3 linked regions of the Xenopus tropicalis genome follow. The protein of the gene in region 1 interacts with the protein of each later gene in a biochemical or structural test. Links are inferred from orthologs where the notes say so. Each region holds a gene or a part of one and is shown in the gene's direction. Other genes may lie near its edges. The genes, in order: mxd1, max and sin3a.

What was found.
Region 2: the proteins of mxd1 (region 1) and max form a complex in vitro, tested with the Homo sapiens proteins (4 studies listed by BioGRID, with this or other methods). The link is inferred for Xenopus tropicalis from reciprocal best matches to the Homo sapiens genes MXD1 and MAX.
Region 3: the proteins of mxd1 (region 1) and sin3a form a complex in vitro, tested with the Homo sapiens proteins (4 studies listed by BioGRID, with this or other methods). The link is inferred for Xenopus tropicalis from reciprocal best matches to the Homo sapiens genes MXD1 and SIN3A.

Annotation. Positions count from the first base shown.
Region 1 is NC_030679.2:121,959,147-121,962,008, forward strand, and holds the end of mxd1 (max dimerization protein 1), read left to right. Parts: intron 1-93; coding exon 94-208; intron 209-408; coding exon 409-568; intron 569-1,308; coding exon 1,309-1,499; 3' UTR 1,500-2,247; downstream 2,248-2,862. UniProt on the Homo sapiens protein: Component of a transcriptional repressor complex together with MAX. In complex with MAX binds to the core DNA sequence 5'-CAC[GA]TG-3'. Antagonizes MYC transcriptional activity by competing with MYC for MAX binding.
Region 2 is NC_030684.2:119,935,256-119,939,588, forward strand, and holds the start of max (protein max), read left to right. Parts: upstream 1-1,419; 5' UTR 1,420-1,561; coding exon 1,562-1,597; intron 1,598-4,333. UniProt on the Homo sapiens protein: Transcription regulator. Forms a sequence-specific DNA-binding protein complex with MYC or MAD which recognizes the core sequence 5'-CAC[GA]TG-3'. The MYC:MAX complex is a transcriptional activator, whereas the MAD:MAX complex is a repressor.
Region 3 is NC_030679.2:93,378,787-93,383,112, forward strand, and holds the start of sin3a (paired amphipathic helix protein Sin3a), read left to right. Parts: upstream 1-1,454; 5' UTR 1,455-1,560; intron 1,561-4,326. UniProt on the Homo sapiens protein: Acts as a transcriptional repressor. Corepressor for REST. Interacts with MXI1 to repress MYC responsive genes and antagonize MYC oncogenic activities. Also interacts with MXD1-MAX heterodimers to repress transcription by tethering SIN3A to DNA.

The DNA of each region.
Region 1 (2,862 bases):
AGTTCATATTTTTTGTTATGTGTAACTGAAAAGCATATTGTGCCATGATTGTTTTTCTAATGTGGATGTAATTATTCTTTTTTTCCTGTTTAGACGAGCCCATTTAAGATTATGTCTGGAAAAGCTAAAGATATTGGTTCCTCTTGGACCTGAATCCAATAGGCATACCACATTAAGTCTATTAACAAGAGCAAAGTCGCACATTAAGGTAAGCTAAAGTTATATTATTTTTTTAACGTGTGTGTGTCTATATATATATATATATATATATATATATATATATATATATATATATATATATATATATATATATACATATATATATATATATATATATATATATATATACATATATACATATACATACACCAAATACTTATTATTTCTTTTGTTCTTTCTCTTTTAAAGAAACTTGAAGATTGTGACAAAAGGTCTCTGCACCAAATTGAACAATTGCAACGAGAACAGCGACATCTAAAAAGGCAGCTAGAAAAATTTGGGGTGGAAAGGACGCGCATGGACAGTATAGGGTCAGCTATGTCTTCAGAACGATCAGACTCGGACAGAGGTAACTTATACCCCATCCCCCTTTCAGTTTATTGTTTTATATCAACAGCAACAACAAAAAAATAGATTTTCTTAATAAACTGTTCATAATCTCTTTGCATTATTTTCAAAAATCTTGATTCATTCAGTTAACTCGTGCTTGGCCTAACTGTACAGTTTAACACAGTGGTTTCCAGTAGATGGTCCCTTTGTGCTGCGCTGCGGCTCAAATAATTGGAGACACACCATTAACCCTTTATCTGCTACCTGCAAATATATTATTGTGTGCATGCATTGCATGTTTGCATGCATTTCCCATGTGTTTCATTAAAGGGGTGGTTCAACTTTGTTACCTTTTAACTATTCATAATAACCTTTGTAATGGCTCTTCATTAATTATTTTTTTTCTTTTTTTTTTTAATTATTTGCATTTCTCCTCTGCATCTTTCCATTTTTTAAATGGGGGGTGTGGGGGGGGGGTCTACACACTCCTATTCATATTCTAGTCTCTCATTCAAACCATTGCCTAGCTTCTAGGGTTAAAACCTCAGTAACCATATAGCTACTGAAATACCAAACTGGAGAGCTGCTGAAAAAAAACACTGAATAACTAAAAAATCATAAAAAATCAATTGCAAATTGTCTCAGAATATTACTGGATACATCATACTTAAAGTTAATTTTTGTATTTGTCAGTACAACTGAAAGCTGTATTTCTTTGCTTTGGGTTTATTGCTGACTCCTGGTACTTTATTTCCACAGAGGAAATTGATGTGGACGTAGAAAGCACGGACTATTTAACTGCAGATCTGGATTGGAGCAGCAGTAGCAGTAGTGTGAGTGACTTGGATGAGAGGGGGAGTATGCAAAGCATCTGCAGTGATGAAGGATATTCCAGCTCTGGTCTTAAGAGGATAGAACTACAGGACAATCCCAAAATTACAGCTCTTTAAACAGCCAATCAGAGAAGATAAAAAGGGGAGGGGGGAAGGATGGTTGCGAGAGATTTCTAGCAGTTCGTCACACTACTCCCAATTGCTCTCACATCAGACACTGTTATCTATTGGCTTTCACACCATTATCTTGCACGTGAACTTGTAAACTCAGACCTTCCAGCAGTCTGTTTCCCTCCCCCCTTTTCCGAAGGAGCTGTATGGGTTTCAGTTTACACTCAATATCACTTGCTAACCCATCAGCCAAATCTACTCGAGAAGACCACATTCCAGAATCACCAGGAAGCACTCAAGAGGAAAAAACTATCTATATTATTTACTGGAAATGGTTGTTGGCTGATAAACAAGATAACAATATTCATCCAGCTGGTACCTGGTCTATTGCCGGTACAATTGGCCCAGTTAAAAGGTCATAATATCTCCCAGCAACACCAAAACTTTTTTTTTTTTTTGCTTCACTTCACATCTGGAAAATGGTATGAAGGAATATGTCAAAAGAATCTTGCTATACGGCAAGACCTTTAGTTTACAGCTACTATAATATCCAATAAGAAGCCACCAAGGAAATCTGGATGGGACTTTGAGTCTTGATTCAGTGATTTTGGCTTAGAACAGTGAGAATGCTGCTATTATATTTTTTCACAGAATCGTGCATCTAATGCACCAAACCCAGCACAGTCTAAATTGCAACGCTGGCGCCTTCTAGCCTTTATTCGGAGATCTATAAAGCCACTTGCTATGTCTATTATATTGTGTTTTTTGTTATTGGTGTCAGTCTTGCTTACTTTTCATAATCGTTATCTGTTGCCACAGCCTCTCCTCTACAAGCTGATGTTTTTTTTTTTTTTTTTTAATGATTCCATGTTTTTATGTAAACCTGTTATCATTTTGTAACTGGAATCTTACCCTTTTCTGTTCACAAGAAGACTTCCAGGCATTTTTCATTTGCCTTTCTATAGCAAGGGAAGAGTAAATTAATGGAGCCTGAAAGGTTTTTCTATATGATATCAGTGCTCCTTCTTTTTTTTCAGTGTATTTGCAGTACCAGAATCTCTTGCTGTTTTTCCCCAAATGGCAGTCAAGTTTTAGTTTTTGTTTTTATCCCTAATCTAAAGAAATTCACCTTGAAAAGAGCATGCACTACAAAAAAACTGCAAGCAGGCCTTCATCGTCCTTAACTGAACATAACCCACCCAGAATGCTAACGGTTGGATTTTTACCAGGCAGTGTTTGGGACACGCACTTTAACATTTTCGTAGCTAGATCCAAACAGTACCATTCGATTCCCCCGTTTCACGGTATAACCTTTGCAGCTGCATGTAACTGTCCCTAGCAGATGCTTCTCGAAGGAATTTGTACGTTG
Region 2 (4,333 bases), on another chromosome or scaffold:
TTTACACTGTAACCCCTCAATCTGCCAGATATCAGCTGAATAATACACAAGGGGCCTGTACGTTTGTATAACTTTATAAAGCGCTACAGGAATGTGGAGAGATGTACATGTATGGGATCTGTTATCCAGAATGCTCGGGACCTTGGGTCTTCCGGATAAGGGATCTTTCCGTAGTTTGGATCTCCATGCTTTACGTTTACTAAAATGTCATTTAAACATGAAATAAATCCATTAGGATTGTTTTCCATCCAAAAGGATTAATTATATCTTAGTTGGGATCAAGTACAGGTACTGTTTTATTATTACAGAGAAAAGGGAATCATTTAACCATTAAATAAACCCAATAGGGCTGTTCTGCCCCCAATAAGGGGTAATTATATCTTAGTTGGGATCAAGTACAGGTACTGTTTTATTATTACAGAGAAAAGGGAATCATTTCTAAAAATTAGAATCATTTGTTTAAAATGGAATCTATGGGAGATGGCCTTTCCGTAATTCGGAACTTTCTGGATAACAGGTTTCCAGAAAATGGATCCAATACCTGTACAATCATATAACAGTACACACGGGGAAGGCACATATTATAAAAAACATAACAAATAAGTATATATACACAGAGATTAAGCACCATTTGGTATGAGGCACAGTAGGAAAGCCTGTAGAGCTTACAATCTAAGCTTGTAAAGGGTAGTATTTTTTTTTTTTTGCTTTATTCAGCTATTTCACACAATACAGTAGGCACCACGCAGGGCTTTTCTATACTCTATATCTGCCGAGCTGACAACAGGTGCACGAAAAGGTTGCTATGGCATCTGCTTCGTTAGCAACACGCTTGGTGTCGGTATCTTTTTGTTAGAAATGGCATAAAACGTCATTTCCCATCATATAATTTCTGCCCCCGGAACAACCAAACTGTAGATGTGATATACATAAATACGCTTACGACTTGAGATACACCCCTAAACGATATAATATCAGTTTGTATTAGTCCAAAGCGGATGAAGATGAAAAGCCCCACTACTTCCCTAAGCCTCTCTCCCATCTCCCCCGCAGGCCCTTCCCTTGTCACTACACAACAAGCCCGTAGCCGCCACAGCAGCCCAGTCACACAAACACAAACTCGCCCAGCTTCCCGTCTATACACGTGTCTCCAGCCCACTTCCGGGAAGCCGCTACCTGTGTAGACTACAAATCCCATCAGCGGCCTGGAACGTCGCGCCTGCGCAGTAAAGCTTGTTTGCTCCCAAGGCTATAAGGGAGTTGTAGTCAATTTCCGTGTTTAGGCGCATAAGCTGGCAGAGCGCTTCCGGCCCTAGTGAACTCCATTTCCCAGCATGCAGCGGGCCGGCTCTCTGAGAGGCTAGAGCTCTGGCTAATGATCCCTAGCAGTGTGGAGTCACGTGTGGCTTCCGTTGGTGTGTTTTCCTGGGCACAGAGAGGGTCTCTTCCCCCCCTCTCTCCCTCCCTTAATTCGGATTTTATTTTTTTTTTCTTTTTGCCCATAGTGTTTGTTTTCAGGCCCGAGCAGCCTCTCCCCTCCTTCCCATCACTATAGGAAAGCATGAGCGATAACGATGACATCGAGGTGGAAAGCGACGTGAGTGCGGGTTCCGCTTCCCTTTAACTTGGCTTTATATGGGGTGGGGGCGGGGGTGGCTGTGTTGTCCCTTGGAGAGGGGGCAACTGTCTGTTTAGCAGGGATCACCGCTTTTGGTTCTAGCTGTAACAGGAACAGTGTTTCCTATTCTGTGTGTGCCTAGGTCCTGCTGCACTACAAATCCCAGCATCCTCAGCAATACGGAGAAGGTTTTCGGGTAGGGCAGAGAGAGGGCATTTGTCCTGGGCTTCCAGTATCTCAGGGCATCTTGTTTTATTTGTTAGGACTCTGTATCCCTCCTGCACTGTATGTAGTATAACTTGTAGCATCCACCGGCCCTCCAGCTGCTCTGCAATCCTTAGCATCTCCCCTGGCAGGGATGGGAGGGCTGCAGCCCAACAGCTGGAGGGTCCTTAAATCAATATCCCCATTATGATATTATTATATACTAGGACCCCAGCATTCCTTCAGTGCCCAGGGTACCTTCATCAGTCTGGGGTTTATTGTTATTTATATAGCACTGAAGTATCCCATCATTCATATCAGCCTGGCACCAGTGGAGCTTACTATCTAAGGTCCCTATCACATTCACCAACACATAGGGGCCGATACATTAAATTACAAATTAAGAGTATAATTGGCGACAATTCGCATTAAATACAAAAATTTCTAATGTGCGTTAATTTTGCGAAGAGTCGCGTTGTACTTGTGCGAAAATATCGTGGTACGATGCAAAAGTTACGAAATTTTCGTATCCGTACGATCGTAAACGGCTCAAAAACCTTTCTGACTTTGACCCTTCAGTGGAGGATTTTGGAAGTCTCCCATAGGACTCAATGGCACTCTGCAGCTCCAACCTGGCCCAAGGAAAGTCTCCCATAGGGCTCAATGGCACTCTGCAGCTCCAACCCGGCCCAAGGAAAGTCTCCCATAGGGCTCAATGGCACTCTGCAGCTCCAACCTGGCCCAAGGAAAGTCTCCCATAGGGCTCAATGGCACTCTGCAGCTCCAACCCGGCCCAAGGCAAGTCTCCCATAGGGCTCAATGGCACCCTGCAGCTCCAACCTGGCCCAAGGAAAGTCTCCCATAGGCCTCAGTGGCACTCTGCAGCTCCAACCCGGCCCAAGGAAAGTCTCCCATAGGGCTCAATGGCACTCTGCAGCTCCAACCTGGCCCAAGGAAAGTCTCCCATAGGGCTCAATGGCACTCTGCAGCTCCAACCCGGCCCAAGGAAAGTCTCCCATAGGGCTCAATGGCACTCTGCAGCTCCAACCTGGCCCAAGGAAAGTCTCCCATAGGGCTCAATGGCACTCTGCAGCTCCAACCCGACCCAAGGAAAGTCTCCCATAGGGCTCAATGGCACTCTGCAGCTCCAACCTGGCCCAAGGAAAGTCACGATATTGAAGCTTGAATGAATAATGAAACTTTTGTACTCGTTGCGACAAATACGATTTTGTCGTGCAAATTGTTGGAAAGTACGAAAAAGTTGCGAAAAAAACGCACAGTTCTAAAACAATTTTTTTTGTATTCACACTCAATTGTACTTTGATGAATGTGCCCCTTAGTGTAAACATCGCATACACACCAGGCAGCCCCAGTAGATGTGTAATGATACCTGCTCTGTATGGTGGGCATGGGACTCTGGGACTAGTGCCTTTATTACTGACCTGTTTTCTATGTTGTTGGTACCTATCCAACAATAACTGCAGGGTGGTAAGATAGACACCTCGGTGAAGGGCAACAAACGTGTATGCATACCCTATTATTTTGGAAGGGTAACAGCCAGAGGTTATACTATGAACAGGTGTCTGTATATATTTCTGTTGGCCAGACTCATGGGGGGGGCGGGCGGAGCTTCATCATTTCTCCACTGGTTGTTTGGTGTCCCAGTGAGACAGGCTTGCTTGTTTGTTGTCCATTTTTTTCTATATTACCCTTGATATTAAATATTTTGGAGAGGATCAGATTGTAGGAAATGGTGATGTTAGGCATAGTTGTTCATATTACATAGTTACATAGGGTTGAAAAAAGACCATTGTCCATCAAGTTCAACCCTTCCAAGTAAACCCAGCACACACAACCTATACTTACCAATCTATACACTCACATACATAAACTATAGATACAATCATTAATACTAACTGTAGATATTAGTGTCACAATAGTGTTTGATACTATGCTTGTTCAAGAACTCATCCAGGCCCCTCTTATAGGCATTAACAGAATCTGCCATTACAACATCACTAGGAAGGGCATTCCCCAACCTCACTGCCCTCACTGTGAAAAACCCCCTACGCTGCTTCAAATGGAAGCTCCGTTCCTCTAATCTAAAGCGGGGGCCTCTGGTGCGTTGATTGTTTTTATGGGAAAAAAAGAACATCCCCTATCTGCCTATAATCCCCTCTAATGTACTTGTACAGAGTAATCATGTCCCCTTTAAGAAGGACCACATCCAGGCAGTAGGCTGTCCTGGAATACTAGTAGTGTTCATGGCTTTGTACTATTAGGGCTCTGGCACACGGGGAGATTAGTCGCCCGTGACAAATCTCCCTGTTCATGGGCGACTAATCTCCCTGAAATGCCATCCCACTGGCAAAAATGTAAATCGCCGGTGGGATGGCATACGCGGCGCCGCGTTTTCCCTGAAATCGCGGAAGTTGCCTTGAGAGGAACTGCCGGTTTGATGGCATTTCGGGGAGATTTGTCACCGGCAACTAATCTACCCGTGTGCCAGGG
Region 3 (4,326 bases), about 29 Mb from region 1:
TAAAAAAACCTTTAAGAATCTGTCAGGAAGCTAAAGGTGAACTTCACCTTTCAGCATGACTCAAAGCATACATAAATCAACAAAGCAATAGCTTTACCAAAATCTGTGGGGTGACCTGAAGACAGCGGTGCACAGATGCCCTCACAATTTGACAGATCTGGAAAATGTTAGCAAAGAGGAGTCGGCAAACCTTGCAAAGTCTCAATGTGCCAAACAGATGGACCCAAAAAGACTGAGTGCTGTTAATAAAATCAAAAGGTGCTTCAACCAAGTTATTAGTTTAGGGGGTGCGCACTAATGCAACCAGGTTTTGTATGATTTGTTTCACTAAACTGTTGATTTGTTTTCAACTTCTTTGTACAGATCACAATTTTGTAAAAAAAGGTGGAATAAGTTCTTACAGATTTTATCTTGGTTTCTTTTTTTTTTTTAATTAACACAAACATGTGTTATGTATGTATACAGCGATGAATAGAAGAAAAATAATTTAATTAAAACAAACAAGGGGGTCATTACAATAATAGGTCAATAAATACAAAGTACGATTAATACTAATAAAGTACAGCTGTAGTAAATATGTCACAGAGCTAAGTAACAAAGAGACAAGAGTATGGAGATTCCTGTTCTGTACAGCTTACAATCTATGGCTAAGAAAACTTACAATATATTACAGTCAGTTGCAGAGACAAAGCAGTGCAGCGCTATATATTCTATTCCACATATAAGGTGCAGGGCAGACAATATGAAAGAACACAAAATAATAATCTGTCAATATTGTTATGCCTCTTTCCATATGTTTTCTGGGCTATTAAAAACCTAGACCTTTTCCGCTCGCTCTGCACCATCCGACAAACGTTTCCTATTCCGCGATTCAAGCACCGCACAGCATTCTGGGTTCCATAGTTTTCATCTATGTAAGTATTAAAAAGCAGTGCATTGTGGGCGATATCTTTTGTGTCGTACCTGCAATGCATTTTGGACGTTGTAGTTTTTTAAAAAAATTCTATATTGATTTGAGGTATGTCGTTACTGTGCACATTCAGCCCCTCCATATTCCTATAATTTCGCTCTTGTCGTCCAAAATCATTACGCGCACCTGTCACATAAACATATTTGGGATGCGCGCTGTAGCCGCGGTCTCTCACAACCTCCCGCCCAACAGAGCCCTACTACTTATGAAACAAATACAGCGGTCATTGAATCTGATAAGAGTTCTAAGTCAGCTTGAGGGCCGCGAGTAACACTACAAAATTAACATTAGACTCTACAAGCCTTAGTAAGGAAGGAGAGAACAAACAGCACCAGAGCCAAATGGGACGTGCCCTTCAAGGGGGCGGGTGGCTAAGCCCCCATGACGGAGCGCTGTCTCTATATGGCAAGAAGGCGGGGTCGAGTTTAAATGAGTTCCCCTCCCCTCTAAGGTTTTCTATGGTACACACCCACCCTCTTTTCTGTAGGGGGCTGGACTAGAACTAGGAGTCTTGGAAAAAAACGGGGGGGGTGTATCTATCCTAGCATAGAGTCCCTGACTTGGTGTGGCCGTATATTTATTTCTGGAAGGTATGTGCCTCTTGTTTATCCTAAAGGGAGCCATTCTTTGTTTGGACTGGGGCGCTGGGGTTGTAGTAAGGCCAGTGGGACACATCGAAGTGCTTGCCTTTTCGCAGATGGGGTCAGGCGGCGAGTTACGAGTCCAGCCGTGCTGCACCTCGTATGTACAGGGTGTCCGGATACACATTCCCCCGTGGCACCGTTCTCCAACCTGCGCCTAAACAGCTGCTGTTGGACTGGAATCCCCAGAGCCACGCGAGAGTTTGCTGCCTAATAGCTGTGGGTGGCGAGATCCCTGCCCTAGGGGAATCGATGGTGGCCATGTGGCTACCTGTCCAAATATGCCTGCCAATATGCTCTCATCTGTATAGAGATGACCGCCAGGCCGGGAGATGGATAGATGGAGTAGGGCTGAGACTGGGACAAATGTTATGCACCCGAGCCAGCTGGGCTGTTACTGCCCAGTCAGTTGGCATGGGCAAAGGCTGGTTTGTCCTGTCTGAGAGGGAAGAATTAGGGATCCCTTATGTTCTTAAAATGACCTTAGGTTTTTTTGGGGGGTGGGGGGTTAACGCAGTTCGTGGTGCTGGGGTTTGGGGGACCTACAGCGATTGATGGAAGGCGGAGGTTCAACGCTGACGCTTAAATCATTTGTGCCTTTAAGTTTATTTCTCCCCGAATATCACACGAGACCAAATTTTGGGAAAATGTGAGCTCGGTTTTTGCATGAGATTAATAGGAGTATAGACATGGGGTTTGGGGGGTGGTGCTTCATTGCAGTTAGGTGACTGTATTGTCTGGGAGGCAGCAGAAAACACCCCTGAACAGCCGCGCTATGTGGAAGCGGCTCCTAAATAGCCTGCCTTACACTACACTGTTCCATGTCTTCTGGTCAATGTACTATTAAATTTAATTGCCTTCTGCACGCATAACGAAAACTAGCCGCTATCACTCACGCTAAAACCTCTACTCTCTCCCTTCCTAACGCGCTTAATAATTCTGAGATGGTACGTGCCTCAGCTTTATCCTTTTTGGCCCCGCCCTATCTAAACGCTATTGGCCCTCTCCAGTACCTAGGCATCCTGTATTTTCATTGGGCAGAGTGATTGCACCGCCCTTATTCGCTGGCACTAGGCATCGACTCCGTGTTCTCTTCCGTGTAAGGCGTGGCTTAACACTATTGGTAGGGCGTGCATATTGCTGGTCACTCCTGGTCATAGGAAGCGGAAGCTGATAGCAGGCAATGGTTGGCTAGTTGTGTTGTACCCGGAAGTGCTGTCCAATAAGCTTTACTTTATGGGCCGACGTTAGCCAAGGGGCGGAGCTGAGGACAATGAGGCTGCTCTTCTTATACTCCTCCCCAGAAATGTAGCCTTAAGTTTCATATACGTTTATCGTCTTATTTGTCTCCAAACATTTTTTGATTAATACAATGTGTGAAAACAGTATAGACACTGTGGTCGGAACCCTAATGGTAGCTTATCCTTGATTTAGAGGCAATTCTGCAATCTGACATCAAGTTTTGTGTGTGCTAAGTACGAGAGAGAAAGGTTTGCATCTTGGCTATGAAACATCACACTTTTGATTAGTCAGCACCAGGCAGCATTGCTTTATCATAGGCTATAGACATTTTACTACGTTTATTTTAGGAATATAACAACTCCAACTCATGAATGGCATACTGAAACATTATAAATGCTGCTGTGCCTTTCTATGGACCTAATGCCCTTGGGATGTCGCAATTATGATTAAAAATGTCATACTATAGTGTTAAAGAAAAAAAAAATTTGAAATGTCTGGTGGAAGATGTAAACCCTAATAATGTGAACTTGTATGTATATTTACACTGCACTGCTTGTGCATGCTGTGCTGTACAGTAGGACAACACAATAATAGAACAATTTAGACAGGTCCCCATCAGGTCACAACAAGGTTACAGATATAGAAAATCAGTGTATATTCTTATAAATAGTGGCATTAGTTATAATTGGTCATACACATTTTTAAGAAATACAATTTTTCTTTAAAAAAAAGTACATTTGAAATAACATTTACGTTTTATGACTATAGAAACACAACTTTAACCTGTTATATTGCGCCTTTTAAAAGGGTATGGAACTCCTGTTTTACAAAAGAGACTGCATTAATCCCTACATAAACTTGCTTCATGCACATCTATAATCTAATTATACATGACATCCATCAACATGCTGTGAGATTAGATCAGCTCATACAAACAAATTATGGAGTGCATAGAAAACATACATCAGAACTGTTTTATACCCAGTTCTTAATCAGTTTTTAAAAAGTGTCACATAACCCAGGAAATCAAGAGGCCATGTGCAAGAAATTGGTAGGGAATTCATAAAACAGATGTTAATTTCACTTTGTCGTGTACAAAAACGGCACTGTCAATATTGCATTTTTGCGTAACTCCCTTTCCCAGGAGGGTTTAGGCATTCCTTTATACTAAGTTGGTTAGGTTGTTAAGGTGGCCATACATCCATGGCCACCTCTGTATATATCTGCAAGTTTGGGCCAAATGATGACAGCAGAAAGAAGTAAAGAAAATCTGCAGATTCTCTTTTTACTTGACTAGTAAAAATGTTTCTGATGGATTGGTAATCCTCAACTCATCAGGATTATGTGCCTGAATGGCAACTAGCCATATAAATTTATTTGGTAGTGTGGTCGAAATCAGGCAATTGCACAACCAAATCTGTGCATGTGTAACCAGTTTTACACATTTTTCTCTAAAGAGGCCAATATCTCCAG